Linked DNA regions of Notamacropus eugenii. The protein of the gene in region 1 purifies or fractionates together with the protein of each later gene. This does not show direct contact. Links are inferred from orthologs where the notes say so. Each region holds a gene or a part of one and is shown in the gene's direction. Other genes may lie near its edges. The genes, in order: RTN4 and ATL3.

Region 1 (16,374 bases):
CCTGGGAAAGTCATAACTTTTCTTAGTCCCAAACTCCTTATCTATGAGATGATGGTGGAAGCACTTACTTCATAGGACTGTTGTGAGCATCACATTAGATAACATATATAAAATGCTTTGCAAATCTGAAAGTGATATGTAAATGCTAACTATTTTTATTATTATATCAGACAGAACGAATCTTAAGCAGTTCTCTGATACAGAAGCCAAACCAGAATGTTTAGTAGTCTGTTCATACTACAGTTTTTTAATTCTGACAAGATAATATCAAAGATATGTTCACTCAATGAACACATCAGAAATTATCATGATTCATCAGTCAACAAATATTTTATTGTGTTTAATAATGTGCCAGACAGAATTTGCATTTGGCTTTTAGGTATTCCCATATTATAGAATATGAAAGCTGTAAGAGACCTTAGAATAATTTAATCTGTTGACTGAATTTTACAGATTTGGAAACTAAGACCCAGAGTAAATTAACTGCCCAACTTTGTAAAGTTAGTAAGGGGCAGAGCTCAAAGATTCTAAATCCAATGGTCTTTCCACCATATTCCAGCTGCTTCTCTTCCCATATGCTTACTAGCAAACCAAGTAAGCTGATTCCAGATGTTTCTGTGGAGTAAAAGGCAATTTTCAAATGATTATTATTGCTACATGTTTTTGTCTGTTACAAATTTTGTGATTTTTAAGCTCTCCTCATATCTTTTAGTTCTAGACACCAATTACCATTTATTCCTTACTCCTTTATTTAATTATACTATTAACAGTATGCAGATTCAATCATACTCTTAGGCACAAGTCAAATAATTTAATTTCTTAGAAATAGCTGAAATAATAGATAATCAAATATCACATGTAGCATCTTATATAAAATTATATATCATCATCATAGTTACAATTGTATTGTGCTTTAAGGTTTGCAAAGTGCTTTACGTGTATTATCTTGTTTGATCCTCACATCAACCTATAACATAAGTGGTATTGTTATTCTTATTTAACAGATGAGGAAACTGAGGCTTAGAGAGGCTAAGTGATTTGCCAAAGGTCAGTCTGACCTCAGTAAATGTCTGAGACTGAATTCAAACCCAGGTCTTCTTGACCCCAAGTATATCACTCTTAACCACTACTACAGGTGCTTTTGTTTTTCCATTTTGTTTTTGTTTTTTGGTAGGGTGGATAGGTGGGGGACGATTGACGGAACTGTGTTGTTTTGTTGTCTTTCTGTTAATTGCTACCGACTATTATTACAATGATCATTTTCTATGATGTCAATTTTTTTTTTTTGGTAAAACTTATGGATGAATGAAGACAAATCATCCTTTGAGACTATTTCAGTTGGAGCAAATGCAAAGGCAGACATGTGACTACAAGAATCTTACATAACTAAGTTGAAATTGATAGATGAATTGCTTCCGAAATTTCTTATGCTGCATCACTAATCCGTATACATAACTGAACATTTCAGAAGGATTTTAGCAGTTCAGGTTAAATTAAGGTTCTTGGGCAGAGGGTGGGAAAAGTTGAACTGCCACTATGTATCCTGTGTGCTTAATAGAAAAATCCATTCTACTAAAGAGCTTTTCTTCAGTACATTCTTATATGTACTTGTGTGCCTACATGTGGAATATATATGTGTGTGTGTATGTATATATGTACATATGAGAGAAATTTATATTTTTAGTGATCTGACACATTCTCAAAAGGATGTGTCCTCAACTTAGATGAACCTGCTAATGTGGATTGTCAGCCCACCCATGGCAGCCATTTCTATATGAATCCTGTCCATGTTTTTCCAGAAATTTACTCCAGGGGATCCACCTAACATGTGAAGGGCCTTTCCCACTTTTTCTGACTTTGTGTGTGAAGATACTGGTGGAGCACATGGGGTCTTTAATTGAACTATCAGACCAGCCTGTCTTCTTTTTTCTCGTTTTCATTTCCCCAATGATTCCTTTTACTTAGTTTTTCTTTGAAGATTGTTATTTGCTACATGTTGGAGTTCTTCATACCTATCACGTCTCATTCCATGACCCTCTGATCATAATATTCATTTTTAATTCTTCCAACATTGTGATATTTGACATCTGGAAGCATTACAGCAACACTAGTTGCTATTAAAAAAAAAAAAGATGTACCTTTGCTTCTGGAGAAGATTGGGCTTTAAAGAAGCTTTGCAATTTCCTAAAAGCAATTCAGGCAGCTCTTCTGATTAATCGGGAGGTCAATTCATTTTTCATTTGTATTGTCTTTCCTGGATATAGGTACTGATAGATAAGCTCTAGATGTCCCTCTCACTGCATGGTGTTATCTGGTTATTTATCCATTTATCCAGCTTTTCCTGTGTCGATTTTCCCCCCTTTCAATTTGATGAATAATTTATAAATGTATTTCATCAGTTTTTAAAAATCAATTCTTTAGCATGTCTTTTCTTTAAAGGGAAAATTTCAGAATCATCTTTATATCACTTCCTCTCTATCCCTGCTCTCCTCTTGCCTCCTCACCCTAGTTATAATCAGATACATTTTCCACAGAATTTTAGGGTTGAAAGGGATTTCAAAAGCCATTTACCTGGAAAAGACTCTGTCTATAGTATACCTGGCAAGTGTGCATCTGGTTTTAGTAGCACCAACATGCTATTCACAGGTCTACTGCACCCATGAATGTGCTGGCACAATTCTGAGTTGCGAAATACAACAGACTCTCCACATGGAAGACAGAACCAAAACATTTATTCAGATACCAGAAAGCCAAATCCATCATAGTAACAAAGAAATGTATACATAATAACAATGCAGAGGGCAACACCATCCCCAAGCCTTCCCTCTCTTAGGCTTCCCACCAACCAGCTTCCTTAAACAAAATCACAATCTCACTCAAACTGGCCAGCTGCCTTTCCCAGTTCTGATTGCTCTCTAACTTCCTCTCAGCTCTGCTCTAACCCCACTTCTTCCTGTTCCACCCTTCCTACTCCACCCCTTCCAGTTCCATGTGACTCAGGCTTCCAAGTGATTTAAGCAGGTCAAATGGGTCTATTAATGAATGAGAAAAATCTTCCCATTAAGAAGCAAAATTACATTAACAATAAGCAAAAATGCATTATCCATATACTTTCTAAAAAGGGCTCTAGCAAAGGGGAAACTGAGGATCCCAAATTAAGCCTATGTTTGCCTCTTTGTAAGTTTCACCCATGGCTCCTACTTTTCTGCACTCGCAGTCAAGCAGTGACATCGCTCCAGGGGTTCTCCGTTGTCTCCAGGATCAAATAGAAGATGCTCTGTTTGGCATTCAAAGCTCTTCATAACCCGAATCTTTACCTTTCCATTCTTCTTACCTCAGATGACACTGGAGGAGACAGTGAGGCTGATGACTTTGCACAGCCCTGTCTCACCTAAATCCAATTTACTTGCAAGTAAAGACATCACCCTGCTGATGTCATTAGTCCTGTTCTAGAACAAAGGACAAACATCAACAGCTGTCTGCCATGTACTTTTCTATCCAGTGACTCCATTTCTCAGCTCCGAACATTTTCTCTGACTGTCCCCCTTGCCTGGGACACTTACCCTTAATGACCTTACTGGCTTCCATTAAATCCCAACTAAAATACCATCATTTACCAGAAGTTTTCCCCAACACCTCTTAATTCCAGGGCCTTTTCTTAATTGGCTCCTATTTATCCTGTATAGAGCTTGCTTTGAATATCTTTATTTGCATGTTGTCTACTTCATGGGATTGTGAATTCCTTGAGGGTAGAGACTATCTTTTGCCTATTTTTGTATTACCAGTGTTTAGCACAGTATGTGGCACATAGTAGGTGCTGAATATATATTTATTGATTGATTGAAGGAGAACAAGTCTGTCTCTTCTACATTGTATGGAATCAAATAGTTGAAGATAGTTATCATGTCTGCAGTCTCTTTTTCTTCTGCTAAGAAATATGGTGGTGGATCAGTGGAATAGATTAGGTACATAATATATAGTATTTGAGAAAAATTGCTGGGAAAACTGGAAAGCAGTTTGGCAGAAACTAGGCATAGCAACCTCTCATACCATATACCAAGATAAGGTCAAAATGGGTAAATGATTTAGACATAAAGGGTAATTTTATAAGCAAATTAGGGGAGCATGGAAAAATTTACCTGTCAGGTCTATGGATAAGGGAAGAGTTTATGACCAAACAAGAGAAAAAGAAGATCACAGGAAGTAAAATGGATAATTTTGATTACATGAAATAATTTTTTTTACACAAACAAAACCAATGCAGCTAAAATGAGAAGAAAAACAGTTAACTGCGAAATACTTTTATAGCAAGTTTCTCTGATAAGGGCCTCACTTTTCAAGCATATAGGTAACTGAGCCAAATTTATATATATATATATATATATATATATAAAAAGAACCATTCCCCAATTGATAAATGATCCAAGGATATGAACAGGAAGTTTTGATTAGAAGAAATTAAAGCTATCTGTGGTCATATGAAAAAATGCTCAAAATCACAACTGACTAGAGAAACGCAAATGAAAACAACCTTGAGGTACCACCTCACATCTATCAGATTGGATAACAAGAAAGAAAAAGGAAAAGGCAAATGCTGGAGGAGATATAGAAAATAGGGACACTAGCAAATACCATTATTGGTGGAGTTGTGAACTAGTCCAACTATTTTGGAGAACAATTGGCAACTATCCCCAATGAGCTATAAAACTATGCCTATCCTCTGACACATCAATACTACTACTAGGTCTGTATTCTAAAGAAATCAAAGAAAAAGGAAAAGGACATATATGTACAAAAATATTTATAGCAGCTCTTTTTGTGGTGGCAAAGAATTAGAAATTGAGGGAACGTCCATTAATTGGAGATTGACTGAACAAATTGTGATATATGATTGTGATAGAATACTATTGTGCTGTAAGAATTGATAAGCAGGATGGTTTTTAGAGAAAAACTGGGAAGATTTATATAAACTGATGCAAAGTGAAGTAAGTAGAACCAGACCATTGTATACTATAACAGTAATATTGTACAATGATCAGCTGTGAATGACTTAGCTATTTTGTCATACAATCATCCAAGACAATTCCAGAGGACTTAAAATGAAAAATGCTTTCTCTAGAGAAAGAACTGATAGAGTCTGAATGCAGATCAAAACATCCATTTAAAAAAAAAACTTTTTCCCCTCTTTTTTCTGTCTGTTTTCTTTTGCAACATGGCTAATCTGGAAATATATTTTGCCTGACTGCACATGTATAAGCTATAGCAAATTGCTTGCCTTTTCAATGAGTGGGGGAGGGGTGGGAGGAGGGAGAGAATTTGGAACTCAAATTTTAAAAAAAGAATTTAAAAAATATTTTAAAAAAGAATTAAAAATTGTTTATGCATGTAATCAAGAAAAGTTAAAAAATAGATAAAATAAATTCAACATGTAACTTTAAAAAAGAGTATTCAGTACAAAAGGCCTCCAAAGAACTCTTCTATCCATCAGAGAATCTAGTATTATGCTGGGCACACAGTAGGTGCCCACTAAACATTTGTTGAATTTATTTTTAAAAAATGTTTTATTCTGAACTTAATACCAAATAAGATGAGCATTTTCATATAGAAAGAATAGAAAAAGAAGACTGTACATGATGCTACAAATATATATGCTTTACAGATTGCTCTTTTTAAAAAATATGTAATAAGTTCAACATGTTATTTAAAAAACAACAAAAAAACCCTGTGCCCAAAGGGCTAAAAAAAAGTGCACACCCTTGGACCCAATAATACCGCTATTAGGTTTATATCCCAAAGAGATCAAAGAAGAAGGACCTACATGTCCGGAAATATTTAGAGTAGCTCTTTTTGTGGTAGTAAAGAATTGGCAAGTGAAGGGATGCCTATTAGTTGGAGAACGGTTGAAGAAGTTGCTTTGTATATGTTTGTTTGCATGGGTCCCTCATTATGTTGTAAGCTCCTTGAAGGCAGGGACTGTCTTTTGCCTCTTTTTGTATTTGTGTTTGTATTTGTATTTTTGTATTTGTGTTTAGCACAGAGCCTGGCACGTATTAGGTACTTAGCAAATGTTTATGGAATTAAATTCTCTGAGCTAAACACTCCCATTCCTTCAACTGACCAACTGTGATATAAACTGATATCTCTTCACAATTCTGGTTGCCTTTTCACCTGTCTCCTAAAACTGTTTTTAATCACTTAAAAGGCAATATCAATGGGCACTGAAGTGACAAGTATTAAGGGCTATCTGGCTATGCCATGTCCTATGCTAGGACCCTCTCAAACTTAGAGCCTCCTTCTCTTCAAGGTCCAGCTTGGGCATCACTTGTGCCATGATGATTTCCCTGATCTCTCCATTCTCTAGCTGAAAGTGTTTTCTTTTCTCCTCAAATTTTCTTCCAGTCCTTTGAATCTCTCTTTTGTCCTTTTCACAAACTAACTTTGTATTCTACCTGTGTCCTTCTTGTACTCCCTGCTACCTCTGCTGTCATAGAAAGAGCACTAGTTCTAATTTCCAAACTTTGAGCAAGTCATGAAATATCCCTGGCTCTTGGTTTGCTCCACTGAAAAACAAGGGAGTTGGACTAGATGGTCCCAGAGGGCTTTTCTGTTGTTCCAGATCATTGTTCTGATGACAAGGGCAGTGGTGTTTTTCATCTTTTTATTTCCACTATTTAGGACAGTAGTTTGAACACAGTGGACCATCAATCAATCAGTCCACAAGACTTTATACTGGGCTACGTACTGGGGATACAAAACCACAAATGAAAGAGCCCTTGCATCTACATGTCCCAGTACATAGAGAAAAATCCAAAATGAATATGAGATAACTTAGGTGATGAGGCCACCGGCCCTTATATGCTTGTTGAATTGAATCTTTGAATTAAAGGCAAGTTACAATTGTGGGAAAGTCCTGGGCCATAAAGTTTCATAATTTATGTTTAATCTGCCTTAGAGAAGTGATCTGGCCAAGTAGAGAAGTTTATCATATTCACATACATGAAAAAGGATACATTCAACATTCCCTCTTCCTGGAATGAAACTGCATAGTCAATTTCAGCCTTAGTCAAGATCATTTACAAGAGTCATCTTTTGGACATGTTTGAGTTTTGTTTAAAAGATCATTCTGAATAACCAGCAATTCCCAGTGGCAAATGAGGGGGACACCTTGGAAATGAAGACTACATTGGAAACAAAGAAAATCTAAATTCCTAGCTTGGATACGTTGGAACCAGTTTCTCCAAATTTCAAGCATTGTAGAAAGTGAAAAGAGGGCCAAGTCCCCTCCTACAAATAAAGTGGAGCACTGAATGCACCCCGAGCTTCAGACCCCTGCAATCCTCAGCAACGTTTAATGACAAAACTGAGTTGGCTGGGAATGTAACGGGAATCTAGTTAGCTCCCAGACACAGGCAAAGGTCTTCCCGTTCGGCTCCCACCCTCCGCCCGGATGACTCATCTACCCATCATGTGAAAAGGCCAAGCGCAGGCAGGATGGGCTACAACGTCCTGGCAGGGAGGGAACCGCTCGTTCTCTCCTCCCCCCCCTCCCCCCCGCCCTCACCCCAAGGCTTTGGCGTCTTCTGTCTGCATCCCAGGTCACGGACTGGAGGGCACAGAGATTTCTTGAATATGGGGGTTAATTTTGGGGGGCTCCTCAGTGAGAGGAAGAAATCACTTTGGCATTTTTAAGTCTTTTAAGTCTGTCTTGTTTATTGAATTAAAAGACTCTCCCCGCCTCCAGGATCCATTACACCTATTATTTTTTCCAGTTCCGTTTTCTGCGAGGGAGGATTTTCCCTTCTCCAAATGCCTCCCAGTCCCCATATCGGGGTACTTCTCCCACCCTTTAACCGATAAACCTGCCCAGTCCAGGCAGCCAGCCCTAGCCCAGGCCAGCATCCCCAGGAGGCCTGGGCCAAATCCCCTGGTCCCTAAGCCCCTCCCATGGAACTTCACTCCCCTCCTCCCCTCCCGCGGCTAGAGTGGGGCTGCAAAGCCGGCCCCTTGGTTCCCCTTCTCGTTCTCATTGGACAGCTCTGCCCTTCTTTCCCCGGATCCCACCGCCTATTGGCTCGTGCTTTTCGCAGGCCCGGCCCTTCTTTTCGAGCCCCGCCCCGCCCCGCCCAGTGCCGCGTTTCTCCCCGCCGGAGTCGCGCCAAACTGGGCGGAGAGTGCCTTGGCTCTGCCATCTCGCCTCTCTCCGCCTTCCTCCTTCCCTCCCTCCTCGGTCTGGGCGGCGGCGGGGCCTGGGGGCTGGTGGGTGGCGCGGCGCAGCGCAGAGCAGCGCAGCTGCGGGCGCCGAGGCAGGAGGAGCCGACTCATTGTTCCGCAGCCGCCGCGCCCCTGAGCGCCTCTCTCTTGGAGTCTCTCAGTCACTCCCCGTCTCCGTTCCTCTCGGCGCTTTCCAAGAGAAAGCCCTCCCCGCCCCACAGCCTCCCTTCCCCGTCCCTCAGCCCGGCCGCAGCAGCATCCTTCCCAGCCCGGCCATGGAAGACCTGGACCAGTCGCCCCTGGTCTCCTCTTCGGGCGCCGCCGCGGGCCCGGCCCGGCCTCAACCAGAGTTCAAGTATCAGTTCGTGAAGGACCCAGAGGACGAGGAGGAGGAGGAGGAGGAGGAAGAGGAGGACGAGGACGAGGACCTGGAGGAGCTGGAGGTGCTGGAGAGGAAGCCGGCCGCCGGCATGACTGCGACGCCGCCGCCGTCCAACGCCGCCGCCGGCGCCGCGCCCCTCCTGGATTTCGAGAAGGAGCCGGTGCCGCCGGCCCCCCGGGGACCCCTGCCCGCGGTGCCCCCCGCAGCCGCCGAGCGGCAGCCCCGCTGGGAGCCCAGCCCGGTGTCCTCGTCCTCGCCGTCCCCGCCGCCCTCCGCAGCCGCTGCCGCATCCTCGGAGGAAGACGAGCCTCCTTCCCGCCCCCCTCCCCCTCCCCCAACGGCCGGCGTGGGCCCCCACCCAGATCCTGCGCCCCCTGCCTGGACCCCGAGCACCCCGGCTCCGGCCGCGCCCCCCTCCACCCCGGCCGCGCCCAAGCGCCGCGGATCCTCGGGCTCTGCCGGTGAGTGAGCGTCCGGCCCGGGGGGAGGTGGGGGAGGGGGGTCCCGCCCGCTGCCCTTCCCACCTCCTTGGGTGTGGAGCCCCCTTTCTGCCCCCCGAGAGCTTTGTCTGCCCCTGGCGGGAGCGAGGTCGGGGGAGGAGGGTGGGGCCGGGGGGGGCGATGGTGGTGGTAGTCATGGTGGTGATGGTCAGCCTGGCCTCCCTCCGACTTTATTGTCTGCGCCTGGGCGGCTGGGGCCATGTGCGTTCTGTGGCAGCCCCGCAGGGCCCCCACACCCTTCCCTTCCCTTTTCCCTCTTTGTTCCGGGCCGGGAGAGACCTCGGAGGATGCGTACATGAAGGAATGGAGAGGGGGGGCGGGGGGGTTGGATTTTAGCGTGGTGCCCGGACCCATGCTGGGGAAGGGGCGCCCTCCTGCCGCCGCTGCAGCCTGCCCTCGGCGGGCCCGCCTCTGGCTCCGTGGTGCCGGCAAGAGCGCCCCCAGCGGTGCCGAAGGGGCGGGGGGGGCCGTCGCCACCGCCCAGTTCTCCCGGACTGATGCCTATGATGTGGCGTCTGTGCTGGCAGCTGCTGGAGCCCTGGCTGGGTCGTGCCTTGGCAGGAGGGGCACACCTGCCGGCTGTCTGCCGCAGCGTGGGACGGGCTGCGGGAACCTGTACAGGCGCATGCGGTCCCTGAAAAAGCCAAAATGGTTGACGCTAAAAGACGAAGCAAAAAGCCCCCGAACCTGTGGATTCTTGGAATAGAACCAGCCAATCGAGAAAAATAACATTTTTGAGATGTCAGTGGTTCTTTGGGTAGTGGTAGATTTAAAGCATTTTTCTTCCTGTCCGGGCATTTGAACTGGTACTTCTCTTTGCAGCATTTTATTATGCAGGATTTTTTTTTATGTTGGATCGATTGGTAGCAATGAATTCTTTTTAGTTTAAAAGACTGAATTCTGTAAAGCTTGTGAAGATTACTTCAACTCTTATTTGAATACTTGAATATGTAGTACTTTTATTTTTTATGAATCTTCCATCTTAGCCAGGAGTTCCTTTTGAAAGGAAACTTAAGCTTGTTAAAAACTCAAGAAACTTCATTTGTTTATTGGCTTGGATTTTTTGATTAATACAAGATACTGCTGGGAAAGGAAGCAATTTTATCAGTATAGCAATTATGTAGGTGGTCAAGAACTAGCCATTGTAATCTCCTGCAGAATTTATTAATAAAACCATAGAACCCGTCAGGAGTTAAAGAGATTACCAAGATATTAACCTCATCTTACAGAAAGGGAAAACCAAGCCTCGGAGGAAAAGTGACTTGTTCAAGGTCACACTGTAGTATTTTTTTTTTTCCCTAATGAGAAACTAAGAAAAGACCTCTTTGAGTGTTTTGTATTTTGCTCAGACACAAAAGAAAATGTTATTAAGGTGTAAAGGATATCCAAATAATGAGGCTAGTCATTCACCTTCCTATATTTTGTATCAGAAACTTTTGGTTGTGGAGACTATCAGATATATTTGGGAGATGTCGGAAAAGATGGAAAAATAAAAGTATGAAAGAGAAGTAATTTGAAATATGGAGACAGTATACCTTAGACAAAAGAATATTATTTAGCGATCTTACAAAGACTTTTGGAAAGGAACTGAACTTATGAAAAGTGATTATTGATAAAACTCTCCTAGTATCCTGCTGACTTATGGGTTCAGAGGGCAAAAAGGGGAAGACTTGCTTATTTGGAGATGACCTTTATTCAGTTCTGTTTTATTAAAGATACACTGTGAAATATGCTGTGAGAGAGAGATACAAATTGAAAAATGACACAGAACCTGCCCTCTAGGAGCTTAAATTGGGGGGGGGGGGTGAGGAGGGGGGTGACATGAGGAATATGCAGATATTTGTAAGAGTGACATTAATATGACAAGTCCCACATAAATGAATGCCTGCAAACAATATTGAATCGAATTATAAAAAACATTACAGTCATCTTCACAGTTAGTGTTTGCCAAAACCAAGAGCAATTTATTTGGGAATGTTGTTTGTTCTTTGTTTCACATAGTATCATGTTTTATTAAACTAGCCCTGAAATCCATGGAAGTGTATAGAATTTAGAGCTGAATGAGACATTAGCAATCATTTACTTCATTTTATAGATGAGGAAACAGGCCCATAGTGGGTGTCAAAGGACCTTGCTCCACAAACACATAGTAAGTTAACAGGCCTTGGATTTGAACTGAGATCATTTCCCAATATAAAACTTTTTAAAAAAAACTATACCAGTTTCCCTTTGTGCTTTTATAAAGATTAAGTATCTTAAAATGAAAAGATATTAAGAGTAATAGTCATCATTATTACTGTGCCTGAATCAGATCCCAAGAACCATATCCTGAGATGGGTTTGAAGTGTTGAGAAGGGCTTGTTGCAGCTAGATAGAGTCAAAGATATGTAAGTCTGACTTAAAATTCTGCATTTGGAATTCTGACCTGTGACTTCTAACTCAGAAATTGTGAGTGTGGAGTAAAGGTGTGTAAGCAGGTTATCTTTTAACTTAGGCCTTTTACCTGGCCTCATTGCTTGGATGCCTTTATTGTACTGTTAGGCTCTCATAGCCTTCTTGCTTGTGTGTTCAACCTCATGGGGCTTTTTTTCCCGTTAAACACAATCTCTATTTCTCTTCTTCCCTCCCCCCCCCACCCCCAGTTTGACGTGGAATTCTGAGTAGCCTTCTGAGGATGACTCATTATTTTATCCAGTTTATATTGGTTAGATATTTGTAGAAGTATTTTTCCAAATAGGAATGATCAACTGCATTGTCTCTTGCATCATCCTGTGTATAAAATGGTGCCTATATCCTGAAGCATAGTGATAATGACCATTACAACTCTATTTTAGAAGAACTTTTAAAAATTTACCGAATTATATAAATTTGAGGCCTCCCAAAAGCTTTTCCTGGGGAAACTGTTCATTTTTTGACAGGGTAGTAATGGCACAGATATTAAGCTTTAACAACATCTATTTGTGGGGAGGGATGTCATTGGGTTATTTACTCAGTGTGGTCTACTTTTTCTAACTAACTACTAATGCATAATACTTTTGTGCTTACTAGGGGCTCTGAATCACTGACTCCTTCATCCTTGAATTGTCTTTACCTCACTTTATAACTTAATTCTTTTTTATGCTTTTTCTGGAATTTTGTTAAAATAAAATGAAGTTGTGACCCTTTAAGGGAACCCAATGACAAAAGTAGAATGATTAAACTGTAACATTCTAAGACACTGGCAGTAATTTAATGGCTAAGTTTTATCTTCACTTTTGAAGGTCATCAAGGCCTGGAACACTTTTAGTCTTAATTTTCCTTGACCTGTCTGCAGTATCTTTCACCTACTCTTTTTCGCTGTTATTCTTGAAGCCATGTGGTTTTTTCTTACTAGTATTCTTTTCTTTCCTTTGCAGTTCCTCTTTTTCTCTTATCAAATTTGAGTGTTGTCCAAGTTGTAGTCTTAAACTAAATGTCCTCTATATAGTATATTTCTTCAGAGACTTTCTAAAATTCTTTTATCTCTGTAGTCATTATTTCTGTAGAGAACTTTCCAATTCTATATTTAGTCACAATTTTTTCCTTAGACTTCCTAATTCTTAGTTATATATACTACTTATCTTCAGTAGGCTTGCTTACAACATCTTTGGGACAATCCATGAGTAGGCAGAATGATATAGTTGATATGTGTCTCCTCCTGTCTATAAACATGGTTTTGATTTCTTCTGTTTTTATATATTCCTGATGAACTTACACACAATTGACTGTTCCACTGTCAGTTTAAGAACACTATATCTAAAACTCAGCTGGTTGAAATAGTGAAAAGGATACTGAATTTGAGATTAGCAGGACCTTGGTTCAAATCTAGCTCTGACAGTTGCAGCTGTGCAAACTTATGTAAGTAACTTTATCTCTTAAAGCTTTAGTTGCCTCATATTTACAGTGAAGATAATGTTAATGCTTTTCTCATGACAATTCTGTGAGCTAGATAGTGTTTTGTAAACATTAAAGTGCTACAAAAATGTTGAGTAATATAGTGTTGTTGTTTCAAAACTAGCTCCCTCTGTTCATCTTGCTTGTTGTACTTACTGATATCACAATTCTCTATCAGTCTTGAAACATCAGTCATCTTTATTAATTTAGCTCATATTTTTCAATAGACAAATAACGTTCCAATAGAAATGTTTTAGGACAAGTCACTGTCATGCTATTATTCATTTGTATTTGATGTTTACTGATTGCAAGGTGGATAACATAACTACTTTTTTTTTTTTTAATTAATTTATTTAACTTTTAACATTCATTTTCACAAAATTTTGGGTTACAAATTTTCTCCCCTTTTATCCCCTCCCCTCCCCAAACACCAAGCATTCTAATTGCCCCTATGACCAATCTGCTCTCTCTTCTATCATCCCTCTCTGCCCTTGTCTCCGTCTTCTCTTTTGTCCTGTAGGGCCAGATAGCTTTCTATACCCCTTTACCTGTATTTCTTATTTCCTAGTGGCAAGAACATTACTCGATAGTTGATCCTAACACTTTGAGTTCCAACTTCTTTACCTCCCTCCCTCTCCACCCCTTCCCTTTGGAAGGCAAGCAATTCAATATAGGCCAAATCTGTGTAGTTTTGCAAATGACTTCCATAATAGTTGTGTTGTATAAGACTAACTATATTTCCCTCCATCCTATCCTGTCCCCCATTACTTCTATTCTCTTTTGATCCTATCCCTCCCCATGAGTGTCGACCTCAAATTGCACTCTCTTCCCCACGCCCTCCCTTCTATCATCCCCCCCACCCTGCTTATCCCCTTATCCCCCACTTTCCTGTATTGTAAGATAGGTTTTCATACCCATAACTACTTTTTATAAATGAATACAAGTATTGAGTTGCACACTCACCTTCTGTAAGCTTCCTATAAACATTTTTGGGGTAGTCCATCAATAAGATGAATCATGGAAATGATACATGCCTCATGATTTTGATTTCTGCTACTTTTACTACTAGAATCTTCATGCTTTCCCCCGAAATGTCTTTGGTTTGTCCTTTCTCGTCTTGACGGTCCTTCCCTCCTGGCCATTTTGTAGTTCTTTTTATCTTCAACATACTGGCTCTCCTGGGATATTGAAAGAATTATAAGACTTCCTGTTCTTAACTGGCTAACAACCTGATGAGATAAGATGTCCACGTTAAAAGTCAAAGCAGTATGTAATCATCCTCTTAATTCATCCTTCACGTAGCTACCAAATGGATATTTCTGAAATACAGATCTAACTGTGTTACTCCTTTCTCAAGAAGGTTCATTGGCTTCTTACTGCCTGTAAGATATAAAATCAACCAATTTCTTTGGCATATAAAGTCAAAGGAATCCTTACATAATGACTAGTCTGGCACATGATATCCATCTGTATCTGTGCATTCTGCCTGGAGCACTTTCCTTTTTCATCTCTACCTTTTGGAATCCTTAGGTCTCCAAGTATCATCTCATGTGAGATCATTCTTATTAACATTCTTCCCCATCCTCCAAATTACTTTGTATCTATTAGGATAATGTCTGGAGCATGGTAGGTGCTTAATAGATTTTTATTAAATTTAATTGATATGATATAAATGAGTGATAGTATATCACATAACATCCTTTTGTTTATCCTTCAAACTTCTGAGTGACTTTTCTATCTCCTCTCCCCAGTTCTGGTATTTGTGTAAGGGCACAAGTTTATTCTTTCCATAGCTTTCATAATTTTTTAGACTTAGATTACATCCACTCTCAGGTTTATCAAATTGCCCATCTTAAAGAATTTGTTTTGCTTTGTATGAAAGGGATAGAATTGTTCTCCTAGGAAAAATGACAGAATACCAGATTGATAACATCTATTGATAGATCCACTAATGAGATTTTTCCATTTTATCTGAGATAGTTTATTATTTAAAGAGTATAGATTAGATTAACAAATTTTATGAATGATGGCCCTTGGTTCTAATTTATTTGAGAGAGAAAAAAAATCCAGGAATACGTATGAAAATTTTCTTGCACACATCCTCATTAGAAAATTATATGGTTACCATAATAAACTTGACTCTGATTTGTAGAATCATAGAATTGTAGAGTTGGAAGGAGCCTCAACATCCATCAGGTGCAATCTGTACTTGAAAAGGAATTCTCACTAGAATATATCAGATAATTGGTCTTCTAGATTTTGCTTGAAAGGAGGAGGAACAGATAAACTTTCAAGGCAGCCTTCTCCATTTTTTTAGACAGCTGTAATAGGAATGTTTTTCCCCTCCTCAGAGAACAAATTCAAATTTGCCTATTTGCTAGATATAAACAAGTTTAATTTCTCTTCCACATGTTTCAATACTTGAAGAGAGTTTACATCATTCCATGACACCTTCCTCCCCCTAACCCCCATTCTAAACCCCAGGCTAAAATATTTCTAATTCCTTCAACCTATCCTTATATGAAATCCCATGCTGGGATCATTTGAAAATTTTAGTGGGCTGCAGTCTCAGTTTGAATTAGTATTATGATAACCTCTAACTACAAAAGAGCTAAATTAGGTGGAAAGACAGGTGAAGTATGTCTGCTGTAAAGGAAAATCACCACAAAATTGTATTTCTTTTTAGTAGAATAAGTATATAAAGGTCATCTTAAATTATCAGGTCACATTTAGAGTGTTTAGTAATACAGATATACTCTTGACATATATGTATGATGATAGAATTTTTCTTATAACAATTATAATTGTGTTTATCATTAATTTCCCTTGTGATAAAATTTTTCTAATGTAACATTCTCACAAAAATTATTAAGTATTTGCCATTGACTAAAGCCAGGAATACAGTGAATTCTAATGCTATTTTAATTTCTTAAACTTAAGTGCGTTAGTTTTTCCCTCATACAGTGAATTTCATTCATAGAATGGTTCCCCCCATGGTTTGGTTAAGAGTAGAAAAATGCAGATAACTAAAATTCATTTGTCTTTACTGTCATTATTTTACATCTGTGTTTTAAAGTAGAAAATACTATTTCGATTAGTGGCCACCATAGAGAATAGGTATTTTTTCTTGGTATAATGATTTGACAAACATTTATTAAGTGCCTGCTGTGTTCAGAACTGTGTGCTAAACAGGGAGGGAAGTATAAATCTTACTGTTTTTACATGATCCTTGTCTTCATGGAACTTAACAGTGTGGTAGAAAATTATAATGTACATTGACATTTGTAATATATAGTATTATGCATTGTTTCACATATATTAGTTGTGAAACTCTTTATGAAATATAATATAATAAAAATTCAGATGTGC
Region 2 (15,639 bases), on another chromosome or scaffold:
TTTATGTTTATGTCGGTGTTCTTTGTCAATGGGGGAATGGCTCTTATTTTTCTATATTTGGCTTAATTCCCTGTCTGTTTGACAGATTAGGCCTTTACCAGAGAAACTTACTGTAAATTTTTTCCCCAGTTTCCTGCTTTCCTCCTAATTTTGACTGCATTCATTTTGTTGTGCAGTTTCATGTAATCAAAATTATCCATTTCACTTCCCATTTTCCTTTCTATCTCCTATTTGCTCATAAACTTGTCCCTTATCCATAGATCTGACAGGTAACTTTTTCCATACTCCCCTAATTTACTTATGAAATCACCCTTTATGTCGAAATCATTTATCTACTTTGACCTTATTTTGGCATATGGCCTGAGATATTGCTCTGTGCTTAGTTTTGGCCAAACTGCTTTCCAGTTTTCCTAGTAATTTTTGCCAGGTAGTAAAATCTTGCCTGAAGAGCTTGGGTCTTTTTGGGGTTTATCAAACACTGGATTACTATAGTCACTTACTACTATATAATGTGGACTTGTCATATATTACTATGTAACGTGAATCTATTCCATGAATCCACTACTCTTGTTTCTTAGCCAGTACTGGATAGCTTTCATTATTACACTTTGTAATATAGTTTGAGATCTGGCACTGCTAGGTAGTGAAATGCTAACTTTTTAAAGGATTAAAGACAAATAAGTTGTCTTTAATCTTTATTTCCACCAGGTGATTTCCTTTTTTTCCTTTTCTTTCTTTTGACTGATATATATTAAAACCAACTCAATATTTCTTAAAGCCCCTTGTATATAATGAAGGGCTATGCTAGAGACTGTGAGTGTGCTAGGGAAGCAGAACATAGTTACTGTCTTCAAAGCTACAAAAGAATGAAAAGAGAGTTGGTTAGGGGAGTTCTTCCCTCCCCCCATCCAAAAACTTACCTGAATTTAACCAGCATGGCTTTGCTCTATGGAACATGTTCAGTCAAATCCAAATGGAAATTCCAGCAAGAATTGGTCAATTGGAAGGGAGTGCTGGCAGGACAGGAGGGGGCTTCTTGCTATGGTCAGAAGTAGCCAGGCAGTATGGCATCCCTCCATGACCCAAATGATGACTCATTCTGTCCTTGGAACCTACTGATATTTCCAGAAGGCCTCTGAATGTACGCTCCTAGAGATGGTCAGAAGAGGCCAGTTACACGTTACATTTGGAGATTTCCCAGAGTAAATTCTGATTGGTGTATAACAAGCCAAAGGGAGAAATTGAGCTTTCAGGGTGAGCCCCAAAGACCAGCCTCGGGCTGTATTCTGTCAGGGTCTCAAGACTGCCTGGATCGTGAGGTACAAGGTATATCCTAAGGCAGCACCTTATTGTAGCCAAATGACAGTGGGAGCTGGGAGAATGTGCCCACTCTGGTGGTCTAGCTCCCAGCCCTATGAATGGTGCACTAGCAGATGCCTGTTTTTCCACTGTCTCCAACATTTATCCTTTCCCTTTTTTCAGATGCCTTCCTTTTGTAGGAAAGGCATTTGAGTCTCAAAAGGGCTAAGTGACATATTCACAGTGTCTGGTCCCTCCTACCTACCTGCTTATCCTTGGGCAAGTTCCTTGTCTCCAGACCTCTGTAAAATGAATTGACTTCAATTTCATTGAATTCAGCAAGCACTTAAATACTCTGTGCTAGGAACTAGGGACCCAAAGACAAAACAGTCCTCAAAGGGCTTATATTAGAGGGGAGGGGAATTCCATGTCTACATGCATAAGGGATCCCATTCCAATCCACCTCTTCCAGCAGATTGCCCCCTCACTTGTTTTTAGTCTCTCCCTATCCACTGACCATACCATCCCTCTCCTCATTCAGTAAACTCCAATGGCTCCCTATTACCTCCAGGGTCCCTGTGTTGGGCCTTCAAAACCTTTTAAAACCTGGACCCCTCCTTCTAGTCTTCTTACACTGTATTCCTCCTCCCACCTCAACTTCCACACTCTACGATCCTCCTAGTTCTTTACACAATGCGCTTCATTTCTGAATTCCAGGCATTTGCGCTGGCCATGACCCAAGTCTGGAATGCTGCTCTCCCTCATCATGTCTGTCTCTTTGTTTTCTTTCAAACCTAGCTAAAGGCCTATCTTTTATGAGAAGCCTTTCCTGGTCCCTCTTAATGCCAGAGCTTTCCCTCTGGTGAATAGTTCCAATTTTTTCTGTCTGTGTCTTGTTTGTATGTCGTTGATAGGTTGTTTCTCCATTAGACTGGGAGCTCCCGGAAAGCAGGGACGGTTTTCACCTTTATTTGTACCCCTGGCACATAGTAGGCACCTAATAAATGCTTATTGACTTATAAATAAGAGCATACAACATGATGTTGGTGTTTGTGGAGGAGACAATGGGAAGAACAAACATTCCAGGCAAGGGACCTGGCCAATCCAAGGGGATGTTGGGAAATGTTTAACCACCACATCTCAGACTGGAGCAAAGGACTCAGAAACAGTCAGGGGCTTAATGGACTTTGTTAACATTCTCTCCACTTTCTTAAGTCTGGACAATCAACAAAACTATAAATCTGGCTGAATTCTGAGCGCTGACAATGAATTTAACTATCTCTGGCTCTGGCTCACTTCTAAGCACAGTCTTTGCAAAGGCACTGAGGTGAGATAGGAATGTGTGTGTGAGTTCCAGTGTGGGGTGGGGTATACGGGGGAGTTGAGGATAATAAAAAGGCTTCAAAGGTCCCGTCCATCTTGTAATTCTGTAACCCTTGCTATCTACTTAAGTGACTTGACTCTCCATGGCCCCATTTGGGGTTTTCTTGCAAAGATACTGGAGAGATTTTGCCATTTCCTTCTCATTTTGCAGATGAGGAAACTAAGGCAAGCAGGTGAAGTGACTTGCCCAGAGTCATACAGCTAGTAAGTGTCTGAGGCCAGATTTGAACTCAGGCAGTTCTGTCTACCCAGTTGCCCCTACTTAAATGTCTACCACCATTTAATTTCCTGCTGAAGGATTTCCAATAGTTCCATTTATTTATTAATGAGTATTAATTGTCTACCATTGGCTCTTTATTGGCTATTTATTAATGAGTATCTTTTGAATGTCTAATCTGTGCAGAGTTTACCCCTCCAGTCTTCTTCCTAAACTAGTCCCAACTATAAAGGGCTGATATTGGAAAATGTTCCTTGCCTTGGCTTTAAGACAACAAAGAGGCGCCACTCCCATTATTTTCATTTTACAGTGGAGAAGAAAGTTAACCTGTGCCCAAGGAGACCCAGGGGTGAGGGCTGAGGCTTAGAGTCCACAACTCCACAGTCTCCAGGCTGTTGTAAACACCACCTGGACAGTGGCCAGGCCGTACACTTTGCACCAGGACTGTGGTCCCAACTTTCCAGTTTGCAAGAAAAGGAGTGGGAAGGGGAGAAAACTCCTGTCTATCTGGCACTGAGGAAACCAGTGGTGTGGTGGAATGCAATCTGGATTCACAGGCTTTGGTTCAAACTTTGTTTTGAATGGGTACTACCAGTGTGACCCAAACTCTCCAGGCCTGGTCACAAATCAAGAGGAAAGCTGGATTAAAAGATCTTTCTCAGGGGCCTTTCAAACTCAAAACAACAAAACACCCTTTTGATTTGGTGACCAGTTTACTGAGTAAAGGAGTCCAACTAGAGCTGGGCAGCACAGAGGGCCTTGGGATGGAAATTCCTCAATGGCCTCAGCTTCTGCTTTTGTCTTATAGTCCTAGAACTCAGCATAGCACATGGCCCAGGGGAGGAAAAAAGGAAAGGAAGAGGATACATATTTCTATGGTGCCTACTATGTGCCAAGCATTTCTATAGTGCCTACTGTGTGCCCAGCTTCTTGGAAAACTTTTCTCCTTTGAGCCTCACAGCAAGCCTGGAAAGGAGGTGCTCTTATGATTCCCATTTTGCAGTTGGGGAAATTGAAGCTGAGACAGTTTCAGGGACTTGCCCAGGCTCAAACAGCTAGGAAGTGTCCCAGGCCAGATTCTGACTTAGGTTTTCTAGACCCTTGAAGCTAGGTGGTGTTCTAGGCTGATAGCCCCAGCCTGGAGTCAGGAAGACCTGAGTTCAAATCCAGCCACAGACCCTTCCTAGCTGTGTGATGCTGGGAAACCACTTCAGCCATTGGCCTCAGTTTCCTCATCTGTAAAATGAGCTGGAGAAGGAAATGGTAAAGCACTCCAGTATCTTTGCCAAGAAACCCCAAGTGGGGTCACAAAGTGTCAGATACAACTGAGAAAACAGCTAAACAAGAACTTCTGGACCCCAGGCTCTTGATCCTGTGCTCCTAGCTGCTTAATAGGTGCTGGCTGATTGACTAGATTGGTTGATCTATGGTTTGTTCTGTTCCCTGCTGGGGCAAACCCTCCCCTCCCCCGACTTACCAGGCAGTTATTCAGGGTTGTTATGCTCCCCTCTCCCCCAGTTCTCCAACCCTTCTGTCCAATCACCCTTCAAAGCCTTGAAGTTGGCAAGTGAAATTCTCAAGGCTGGGCCTCCTACATCAGACCCACAGTCCAGCAGCAGGCCCAGACTGGAGTCCTTCCAGTTTGCTAGGACTTGCCACAGCTTGAGCTCTGCTGGCACTGCCTATGGAACCCTGGGTCACCCACAAATCACGATGAGTCATGGGAGAAGGCCTTCAGTGGAGGAAAGGTTAATGGGACAGTAAAGGACCCTGTGCACCTGAAAACTCCCTTGTGGCTGGGGGTGGGGGGAGGTCAGAGGGATATTTACTTGTGCCCTGTGCCTGCACCCCTGCCTGGGCACATTCCAGCTGCTCAGGCAGCTGCTTCTAGACGGCCTATTTCTGGGTTGTGCAGCCACCACCGCCGCCACCACCACCACCACCACCACCACCACCACCACACAGATATGTGAGCATCTGTATATATGAGTGTGTGTGCATTTGTGTATATATGTGTGTATTTGTGTGAGTGTGCCATTTCAGGGCAGCCCAGCAGAGAGGGCAGGGTCAGTGGCATGGAAAGCAGGAGTTCCTTCTGGGTCCACACCCAGATATTTCTTCTTCTGCCAACTTCTGAACCTTCCCAGCCCTGCCATTTATGACTCCTAAAACTCTTCCCTCTGGGAAGGCCTCACCTGTACAGTGGGGGCTGGAGTGGAGGATCTCCAAGGTTGGAAGTCTGTGGGTCTAAGGAGAAGCCAGCCCCTGGATTCTATTATGAGATTTCACAGGCAAAAAAAGGAGGACCATAGCCTCCTCCCTGGCCTCCTCCCCACCTTCCTCCCCGGCCTCCTGTCTGGCCTCCTCTCCTCCAACCCCCTGGTTTTTCTTTGGTGTGTGCTTTGTATTCTCTTCAGTATAGACCCATTGCCTCCTGGCCAGGCATGAAACTCCTGGAGGGAAGGAATGGATTCCTTTTGGTCTTGATATGTTCAGGACCTTGGTGGTGCCTGGCACATAGTAGGCACATAGATGGTGATCAGTGCTTGTTGACAGATTGATTCATGGTCAGCGGTTCTAGACATGGCTCTTGCTGAGAAACCCTGGGCAGGTCACTGACCCTGTTTGTGTCTCAAATTCCTCATCTGTGGAATGGGAATGATAACATCAGTCATTCCTCTCTCAAGCAGCAGTTTGGAGGATCAACTGAGATAATATTGATAAAATACATTGCAAACTTTTATTCTTGTTCAGTCATGTCCGGCTTTTAATGATGCCATTTCTTGGCAGAGATAGTGGAGTGGTTTGTCATTTCCTTCTCCAGCTCATTTCACAGATAGGGAGATGGAGGCCAACAGGGTGAAATGCCCTGCCCAGGGTCACACAGTTAGGAAGTGTCTGAGGCCAGATTTGAACCCAGGGAGATGAAACTTCCCTGTTCCCAGTCCAGGGCTCTGTGCACTGTGGCTGCTGCCCCCTAGCTGCCCGTTGCAAACTTTAAAGGGCTATAAAAATGCCAGTTCTCATGATAGACCCTTACCATTGTCTTTTGTGTTATACTGTATTATGCTCTGCACACTGCTTCACAGCATGTATATGTACATCATGGCAGGCAGGATGACAGAGTCAGGAGAAACCTGGGTTCAAATGCTGCCCCTGGCCCTTACAGGCAGGGTCACAATGGCTAAGTCATTTGGTATTTCATTAGTGTTTACCTCCGTAAAATGGGACCAGGAATACTTGTGTCTCCTGCATCACAGGGCTGCTGCCAATGTTGAATGAGATGATGTATTTAAAGAATTCCAGGCATCAGCGATTATTATAAATAGTCTCCTGTGACCTCAATACTCACCAGAATAATAAGAATTCACGCTAATAAAGTGAGTAAAGTGTTTTTCCTAATGTCAGTCACTTGAAGCAGCTTGTTCAGCTCTTACCTGAACCCATTTCAACAAGGAAGAAGCTATTGCCCAAGCCCACGATGCTGCCCAGGGGCAAGATTAGAACTCAAACCCAGGTCTCTCCTGACTCTACTTGTCTGTTGAAAAGGCCACTCTGAGCCACCATGGACTGGACAAAATCACTTAGCAACCAAATATTTATTGAGTAATGACCGTATACACAGTCCTGTGTTGAGTCCTGACTGGGATCCAGTTTAGGTAAGGAAGAGGCCCTGTGCTCACTGAGTGGATGAACAAGAACCAGCATTTGGGCACAGCCTCTGGGAATTGGAGGCAGCGGTTCAAAGGGCACTCCTTGTCTGGGCCTCACTGTGTCTTGTAAAATGAAAGAGCTGGACTATGCCTTTCAGCTCTATGTTTGCTCCTGGGTCCCACATTTGTACCCGATTCCTCAGGCTCATTTGTCTGCGTAGAGCCTGAAAGAAAGTGGTCAGGAGGGTGTGTGTCTGTGTGTGTGCCTCAGGTCTGATGACCCAGAGGATGGATGGCGATCATTAAGCAAAGCCAGCGGCAGAGAAGGCTCTTTTCTAGGGTGCCTGAGGGCCACTAATGACACAGCAATTATCCTGGAGACAGCCTGGATCATGACTGTGCTCCTGGAAGTGAGGTTACCCGTCTTTATCGCAGTTCAGTCACATCCTCTTCCTCCTCCCTGGGATCCGTGCAATTTTGAAAATACAGCAATGGTTCACTTGTAGGCTTATGGGAAGGGTCCTTAGAGATCATCTAGTCTCACCCCTCGTTTTACTGGAGAACAGAGGTCTGGGGAAGAACAGGGACTTGCCCAAGGTTACACAGACAGTTGGTGGTCACGGAGATCAGAAACCAGTACAGAAGGGCAGCCTATTTCTGTGGCCTGAGAGTGTTTCAGGACCAAAACTCTCTCCGGTAGAATGTGATTGTTTTCATTTTCCTTTGATTGCTGGTTCTAGGTGCAGCGTTTGATTAGGTGGGTACTCTGTCAATGCTTGTTAAATTAAATGGAATTGAATACGGCTGGCCTGGGCTCCTGGCACATTACTGTGCCCTTAGTAAGTGCTCATTGACTGACCGAGTACTGAAGGTCACTGAGCCCGAGGCAGGGAATTTAAGTTCAGCTGGGGCCTGCGCTTGGCTCTGCCAACCTTCACCCTTGTGCTCTTGGGCATGACAGAGGACGTCCCTGGGCCTCGGTTTACTCGTTTGTAAAATGAAGGGTTTGGGTGAAGCTTGGCTGCAGACAGCCCCAGATTTAGCAGCAGAAGGCCTTCTCTGCCCTGTGCTGGCGGTGGACACTGAATCTCTTTGGGCCTCATCTACAGTGTTCCCCTCCCCGGGGCTGGACAGGCTGATCTCTCCAGCCTGGCATAGCTCTAGGCCCCCACTGTCTCCCTCTTCCTTTCCCCCTCCCCCACCCTCCCCTTGGCCTGCTGGGAGTGGTAGTTTAGTGTCACACTAAGGCGAAGAGATCTGGTTACGCGGCCTATGTATCCCCACTAGAGGGGATGCCGCTGGAGGGCAAGGCCTGCTTTTCTTTATTTTGAGCTTTGCAGCAGCAGCCCTTCCTGGCACAGGCCTGGACCCTCGTGGGTGCTGCTTTGGACACGAAGCACCGGACACGCGGTCCAGCCCGCAGGAAGCACCTAGGCAGGCCACCCGCTGAGCGCCTGCGTCGCCGCTTGGCCTGCTGGGAGTTATGGTTCCGTGGGAGGCTGAGCCCCGGAGAGTCGAGCTTCCCTTCTTTGCTGCCGTGATTCCGCATGGACTGCTGGGAGTTGTGGTTTCTTGGGAGCCCCAGAGCCTAAGTGAGCGCCAGAGTGGTACTACGTTTCCCAGGAGGCTGAGGTGGGCGGGGCTGCTGCGCGGGCCTCGCCGCCGGCCGGGCCCGGGTGCGCGTGCGCAGCCCGTTTCTTCTCGCTGCCGAGTCCCCGCCCATTTCCCGCCCAGCTCCGCCTGCCCGCCCTCTCGGCCGCCCTCCCTCAGGCCCGGCCCGGCCCGGCCCGCCCTCCCCCTGCCGCCCGGGCTGATGAGGAGGCGGCTCCATGTTTTCTTTTCTGGGAACGGCGGCGGCGGCCTCATCAGAAAGCGGGGAGAACACAGGTAACCCCACGCCCCCCGAGCCCCGGGCCCTTCCTGCCTCAGTTTCCGCCCCTGTAAAAGAAGGCCGCAGGACTGAGTGGACTCGGGGGTCCTCGGCCCTCTCTGCCCCTCAGCTCCTCTTCCGTAAAGGGAGGGGCTTAGACCGGGTGGTCTCCAGGCCGTCCCGGCTTCAGTTTTCCCGTCTGTCTAATGAGGTCGTTAGACCAGGACCTCCGATCAGACCCCTTCCCCTTCCCGGGCCTCAGTTTACCCTTCTATTGAAGAGCCGAGGCTAGTTGGCCTTTGGGGGTCCTTCCCCTTCTTGGGCCTCAGTTTCCCCCCGTGTACAACGAGGGGGTTGGCGGAGCTGGCTCCGTTTGTAAGTTTGTGCGTGGCTCCTCCCCCTGCTTTGGTGTTGGGCTTTTTCCCGAGTAGGTGGGTTCCTTCTCTCCACCCCCTCCATTTCTCCGCGTGTTCCTGCTTGTGCCCCGGAGCAGTAGGGTGAGGGGGCCCCTCCCCTGTGGCCCCCTGCCGGGTGACATGGGGAATGGGGCATCCTTCCTGGTGATCAGGAGACTGCCCTCTTTGGGGTGGGTTGGAGTTGAAGTTTCCCGTCTGAACTTGATTTCTACCGGTCCTGTTTGCCCCACCCTTGGGCACCGAGCACAGTAGTGAGTGACCCCACCAGGGGGTGATCCCCGTTAAAGGTCCTCCTTCCTTTGTAGACTTTTCCATCCCATTGGACTAGAAAGTTTGAAGCAGATGCTTTTGGCCATATTAGGGTGGAAGGATGGAGACAGGGAGATGCTGAAGGGCCCGGGCTAGTCATTACAGGCAGAATTCCTCTTAGGAAAGAAGACAGGGTTTGGAATCCAGACCCTTTGAAACCCAGGCCCTGCCTTCTGGTACCAACCTGTGTGTCACCTAGGGCAAGGCTCCCCTTCCTGCGCAGGAACATTGAACTGAGGCCCTTTTTCATGGCAGCTGTGGTCCTGCCACCTGGAGTCTGCTTGCTAGCTGTTACTCAACTTTTATGAAACCTGCCCTGGGAATGGTGAAACTTAAATTATTTTTAACCTGAATCTTTCTACCTCAGGGGACTGAAACCAAAAGTGTGGTAGAGAATTTGGTGTTCTATCAGGTTTTGTTTTTTTTTTTAGCTGACGAAAAGAATATGAACTTCAGTTGGAGAAAATTTTCTAAAGTTTTTGAGTACGTTTCCTTTTTTTTGAAAAGAGAGCAAAACGACAGTCATTGAAGTACTGACACTCCCCCCTCCCCGCTTTTTCTTTGTGACATTTGGAAGTTTCTACAGGTTCCATTTGTGAACTTTCTAGACTTAAAAGATGAGTAAGGAGCCTGGGTAGGAAAACTTCTCCAAAGCCAACAAAGTTCAGGTCCCCTGGTTTGAGGAGTTGTATTGAAACTGTAGTGGAAAGGAGGAGAAAACACTAAGTAGGGGCCCCAGGGCAGGCCTCCTGCTTCCACTAGGAGCAGCCTTTTTTTAGGGAGTCACTTTTAATGGATGAAATAATAAAAGGAAGAACTGCAGTTTTACAAATTTGTTTTAGAATTTTAGCTGTGTTCTCAGTCTGTGATTTTAGAGAATTGCCTGAGGCCCTGAGAGGTTAAGTCATTTGCCCAGGTCTCTGGTCCACTGCCTGTAATAGGTGAGATTTGAGCCCAGATATTCTGGACTCCAAGTGTTATACTGCCTTTTCTGTCACATATATGATAATGGGGGGAAAAGTCCCAAAAGGACATAGTATGGTATGGTATAGTATAGTATAGTATGGCATGGTACCGTATGAGATGGTACAGTATGATACGGTACAGTATGGTATGGTATGGCATGGTACGGATAGTGGTGTGGGGGCTGCCAGACCTGGCTACACATTGACTTAGCAAGCCACGTATTAACATCATCTGTGCTTTATTGTATTTTTACTTATTTTGTTAACTATTTCCCAGTTACATTTTGTTCTGGTTTGGCAGCTGTGCCTCAGGCCCAGGCCTCTGCTGTAGTGGATAGAGGGGTAGTGCAGCCATGAAGAGCTGCATTCAAGTTCTCACTGACACATCTTGGCTGTATGACCTTATCTTGGTGCTCTAGGCAGGGGTGGGGAATCTGTGGCCTCAAGGCCCTCAAGTTTGGCCCTTTGACTAAATCCAAACTTCAGAGAACAAATTCCCTTAAGAAAAGGATTTGTTCTATAAAACTTGGACTCATTCAAAAGTTCAAAACCAAGGACTCAAAGGGCCACATGTGGCCTTGAGGCTGCAGGTTCCCCACCTCTGTTCTAGGAAGCTCCTGAAGATTCTTAAGTTATAGAGAAGGAACTAACTGCATCAGTTGAGTTTTTTCTCATCTGGAAGGGCTTCACACCAATGAAATCATAGGTTGGTCCTTCTCCCTTAGAATTCCAGGATTCCCACACTTAATACTTTGTTTTACGAAAACGGCTTTGTCTTGTGATGGATGGCTCTTAAAGTTCTCGTTGTTAACATGACACTCTAGGAAAGGAAACTTTTCTTCGCTTGGCAATTCTGTTCATGACTGTTTTCGTATCTGACACTGTAACCTCCTACTGCCTTCTAGGATCAAACTGAGAAAGAAAGCATTTTGTAAAGCATCCTGTCAATGTTAGCTAGTATTATTTTGGAAGAATTAGACTAGGGCAAATTCTTGAAAAACAAAACAAAACAAAACTAAGGTACCAAACAATAGTTTAAATACATTTTAGCATAGAGAGAGCACCAGCTGTGGAGTCAGCCTCCCTGGGCCTAAGTTTCCTCATCTGTAAACTAAGGGGGTTGGACTAGGTGACCTCTGAGATCCCTTCCAGCTCTAGAGTAAGGATCCTGTTTTAGAAACATTGTATCCTGGTAGAAACCTTATGGTTGGGTCTTTTCTTTGGTGGAAAGGATGGTGGATGATATAAAAAATCAAACATTGTATACTTTTGAGATGCTCTACGTGGACTTTCTATTAAGGATTCGCCTAATTGGGTTGCCTCTTAAGGAGCCTAAGCTTTTGTAAATACGTGGACTTTCTAGAAACTGTAGGGTCAGAGAGTGTGATTTGCTGTTCTGCATTCTGGTACAGAGTAAATATATTATGGCAGGATTTATATGTGTAAAGGATTTATATCCTTTATGGGATATGTTCTTAAAGTGTTCCAAATCATTCTTAAAGCATTCACTCTCTCCTCATTTTAACAAATGGGCTTTTGAAACCAAATTTTGACTGTGATTCATTTTGGGATTTCCCATAGGTGCAGATCTGTAGCTCTTCTGCCCAGAATCTGGAGAGAGAGAGAACAGAGCTCTTTGGGGACTTGGAAGGTTCCCACAGTCACTGTGTCATCCCCTCCACACGAACCCAGCTCATCTGCCCTTGAGGTAGCTCTCCTGCCCCTAAGTCAGGTTGCTTGGCTCCATTTGGGAACTTTCCTTTGAAATCTAAGGACACCTCCTAGAAGTGAAGGAAAGAACTTCTGACCTTTTCAGTTTGTTAGATGCTAACGTATTAACAAAGGTCCTACAATCAGCACACAGTAGTGGATTTGGAACTTGGAAAGGTCTACATTTTGTGACATGCTTTATAAATTCTAGGGATCACAGGATGAGAACTGGAAGGACTTTTGAAATTGTGTCTGGTTCCATCCTTTTACAGAGGAGTAAACCTAGGCCTGGAGATGTGGCCAAGGTAACGCTTTAGGTAATTCAGAGCAGAGCCAAGGTTGGAGCCCAGGTCTCTCTAGGTCTGTTGATTTTCCATTCAGTCAGCAATCCTTTAGTAACTGCCTGTGATGTGCCAGGTACTGTGCAGGTCTCAGCAGCAGCTGTGATTAGAGATGGTGCTGCTCCATGCAAATTTCTGAGTTACCAAAACACTTCCAAAATATATTTGTTGCAATTGTCACTGATGGATTCAGTTGTCTCTACAGAAGGTTTCCAGAGCTGTATCTCTAGCTCAAGACTTTCCTGAGCTCTAGCCTGGTCTGACCTGCTCTATGTTCCATGAGCACCTCAGACCCAAACTGTCCAGAACAGGACTCCATAACCCTCACGTCTCTGTTTCTCTCCCAGACGCATTTCCTTTGTGGCCTTGCCTGTGTTCATATTAAGGCCTGCTGCCTTCTCAGAGAGCCAGCCCTTGTGGCTTCCACCTCCAAAACGATCATGCTTCAGTTCCAGTCTTCACTGACTTATGTCCCTACCTCAGTTTTCTTTCTGAGTCAGTCCATCATCTGTAGAGATGCCAGCTTGATTTTCTTAGAGTACGTAACTGACCACATTCTTGACACTCTGTATTTTCAAGAATAAACTCATGTATTTGACATCTGAAATCCTTCCCAGCCTGGCTTTGACCAGGTTCTTATTGGTCACTCCTCTTTATGGACTTCACAGCGTAGCCAAGCATCTGGCTTTTCACCTGTGGCACTCCATTTCTTGCGCATGGGCTGATAGGCCATGCCTCATGCCTGGAACCTACTCCATTCTCACCTTTTCCTTTTGGAAGTACAATGAGAGCTCCCAGAAGGCCGAGTTTGTTCTCTATATCTTTAGTGTGAGGCACATAGTATGCACTCAGTGAATACTTTTCCATTCCATTTCCTTGCCTTTGCTTGTCCATGCCTTGACTGCTGGATGTGCTAGCCCACATTAGACCTATTGCCTTTGTTTTGTGTGAGCTAAAACATTCCTGGAAGAAAAGAAGGTGTTGCTCTGCCTCTGGGAATCTCATGTGACAGCTCAAGAGTCACTATGCACACAAAGCCTTTCTGGACCATCTGAGCTGCTCAAGCTGCCTCCAGCCATGTACCTCATGTATGTCCATGTCTCCTTGATAGAATATGAGCATCTTGAGGACAGGAACTGTTTTCACTTCTGTCTTTGTTATTTTTGACTCCTGAAGTCCAATAAGAATAAATTTGTGCCATGTAGGGCAGTGTGCAGCAGAATGCTGGGAATGGTACTGATAATTCTCCTATCTGTGGCACTGTAAAGTTTAAAAAGCACTTTCCTTATGACAACCTTATGAGGTGTGTACCTTATGAGGTGCAGGAATTTCCCTCATTTTACAGATGAGTCAAACTGAGATTTAGAATAGCTAAGTTACTTCCTTTTCTAAAAAGAAGCTTATCATTTTTACTTTTCAGGTAATAAGGTATTTTCAAAATTCACTTGTCTCTCCTACTACCCCACTCCCTATTGAGTAAATTTAAAAACAAACATAATAACAAAAGTGAAGAAAGTTCCCTTTAACACATCTACGTAGTTAGACAAGTTCCCACGTTAGCCATGTCTGAACATGTATCACTTTCTTCCTCTCCGTCTCTCTCCCTGTCTTTGTCTTACTTCCTGTCTCCCTCTCTGTCTTTGTGTCTCTCTAGTCTAAGTTTGTCACTTTCTCTCAGGAAGTGAGTGGTATGTTTCAACTTTATTCTCTTGGAATACTGGTTTTACTGATAAAAGTTTTGAAGTTTTTCAAAGTTATTTTTCTTCTACAGTGTTGTCGTTGTTCTAGTTCTGTTCACATCATTCTGCATCAATTTATAGAGAACTTTCAGGTTTCTTCTGAAATTGTCCATTTCATCATTTCTTATGTTACAATAATATTCCATTATACTCATACCCCACAATGTGCTTAGCCATTCCTTAATAGGATACTCCCAAGTTTTCAATTTTTGGCTATGATGCAAGAATTTCACAGTTGCTTCCCTGAATGCCTGGATCACTTTGTAAGCAGTACACTAGTTTACCTGTTTTCCTGCAATCCCTGTAACATGGATCATTTTCTCTTTTACCCATCTCATAGGTACCTCAAAGTTGCTTTAATTTGTATTTCTCTGGTTAGTGATTAAGAGTATTTTTTTCATTTGATTGTTGATATATGAATTTCTTCCTTTGAAAACTGCTTGTTCATAGCCTTTGGTGATTTATTGATTGGGGAGTGGCTCTTAGTCTAATAATTTACATCAGTTTCTCATATATATCTTCAATGAGACCTTTAGCAGAAACTTGTGGCAAAGATTTTTTCTGTTACCTGTTTCCCTTTTAATATTTGTATTAGATTTGTCTGTGCAATAATGTGTATATTTTATGTCCAGTTTATTTTGGGCGGTCTTCTCCATCACTTTGTTAGTCAGGAAGTCTTCCCCCTTCTGTAGATCGGAGAGTTCATTCCTTTCTTGCTCTTCTAACTTATTTAGGATGTGACTTGTTATTTCTGAGTTCATGCCTTCATCCGGAGCCTGTCTTGGTATATGGTATGAGGTGCTGGTCTAAAACTAGTTTCTGCCAGGCTACTCTCCAGTTTTCTCAGTTCTTTTGGTCAAATAGTGACAAGTCTCTGGATTTATCAAACACAAGATATCTCTTTGTGTTCTTCTGTGTGTGGTGTACTTAATTAGTTCCACTGATCCTTCTCTCTCTCTTTCACTTATACTCAGCTCATTTTAATGATTACTGCTTTGCAGTATATTTGAGATCTGGTACTGGTAGTCTCCTTTCCCCTCCCCCCTCCTACTTTTTTCTTTATTACCTTTGAGATTCTTAACTTATTGTTTCTCCATATGAATTTGGTGATTATTTTTTCTAGTCCTATGAAATATTCTTTTGGGAGGTTGACTGGTACAGCACTGGATAAGTATATTGATTTACGTAGCATTGTCATTCTTATTGTATTGGCCCGATCAGGCTAAATGACTTGTCCAGATCCACACAATTGATAAATGTCAGATCTGGGACTTGAAGACCAAGTATTTGGACTCCAAAGTCTTGGCTCTTTAGTTTTATGTGGCTGAAAGAGTAACCACTCAAACAGCATGTGGAAAAGCCTTCACTAACTAAGCAGAGCCTTAAATTCATGGGCATTCTCTCTCTCTCTCCTGCCCCCCACATTTAAGAAACAAATGGATGAAATGGAAACAAGCAACCAGACATTCATTTTTCTTCTCAAAACCCTGAGTACTTCTGGGGGTTCGTGTTTCCAGCCTAATTCTCCTTTCTCTCTGGAATTGGAAGGTCTCAGACATTTAGTCTTTATAGCTAAAGAATCAAAAATCTCATGACGGGGATGGCAGTCCAGAGTCAGTCCATAAGTTTGTGGCTGACCTAGGACTAACAGTCCAGATTCCTGTGCTTACATGCTACCAGCTTTCTCCTTTGCATAGTCATAACTGATCTTAAGAAAGACCTTACAAAGTTCTCAGT

Evidence for each region.
Region 2: the proteins of RTN4 (region 1) and ATL3 purify together in Homo sapiens (affinity purification with mass spectrometry; 4 studies listed by BioGRID and IntAct, counting the BioPlex papers as one, with this or other methods). This does not show direct contact. The link is inferred for Notamacropus eugenii from reciprocal best matches to the Homo sapiens genes RTN4 and ATL3.

What each region holds. Positions count from the first base shown.
Region 1 is NC_092872.1:651,275,909-651,292,282, forward strand, and holds the start of RTN4 (reticulon-4), read left to right. Parts: upstream 1-8,176; 5' UTR 8,177-8,486; coding exon 8,487-9,054; intron 9,055-16,374. UniProt on the Homo sapiens protein: Required to induce the formation and stabilization of endoplasmic reticulum (ER) tubules. They regulate membrane morphogenesis in the ER by promoting tubular ER production.
Region 2 is NC_092873.1:16,541,656-16,557,294, reverse strand, and holds the start of ATL3 (atlastin-3), read left to right. Parts: upstream 1-8,277; 5' UTR 8,278-8,381; coding exon 8,382-8,439; intron 8,440-11,798; exon of another isoform or gene 11,799-11,820; intron 11,821-15,639. UniProt on the Homo sapiens protein: Atlastin-3 (ATL3) is a membrane-anchored GTPase that mediates the GTP-dependent fusion of endoplasmic reticulum (ER) membranes, maintaining the continuous ER network. It facilitates the formation of three-way junctions where ER tubules intersect.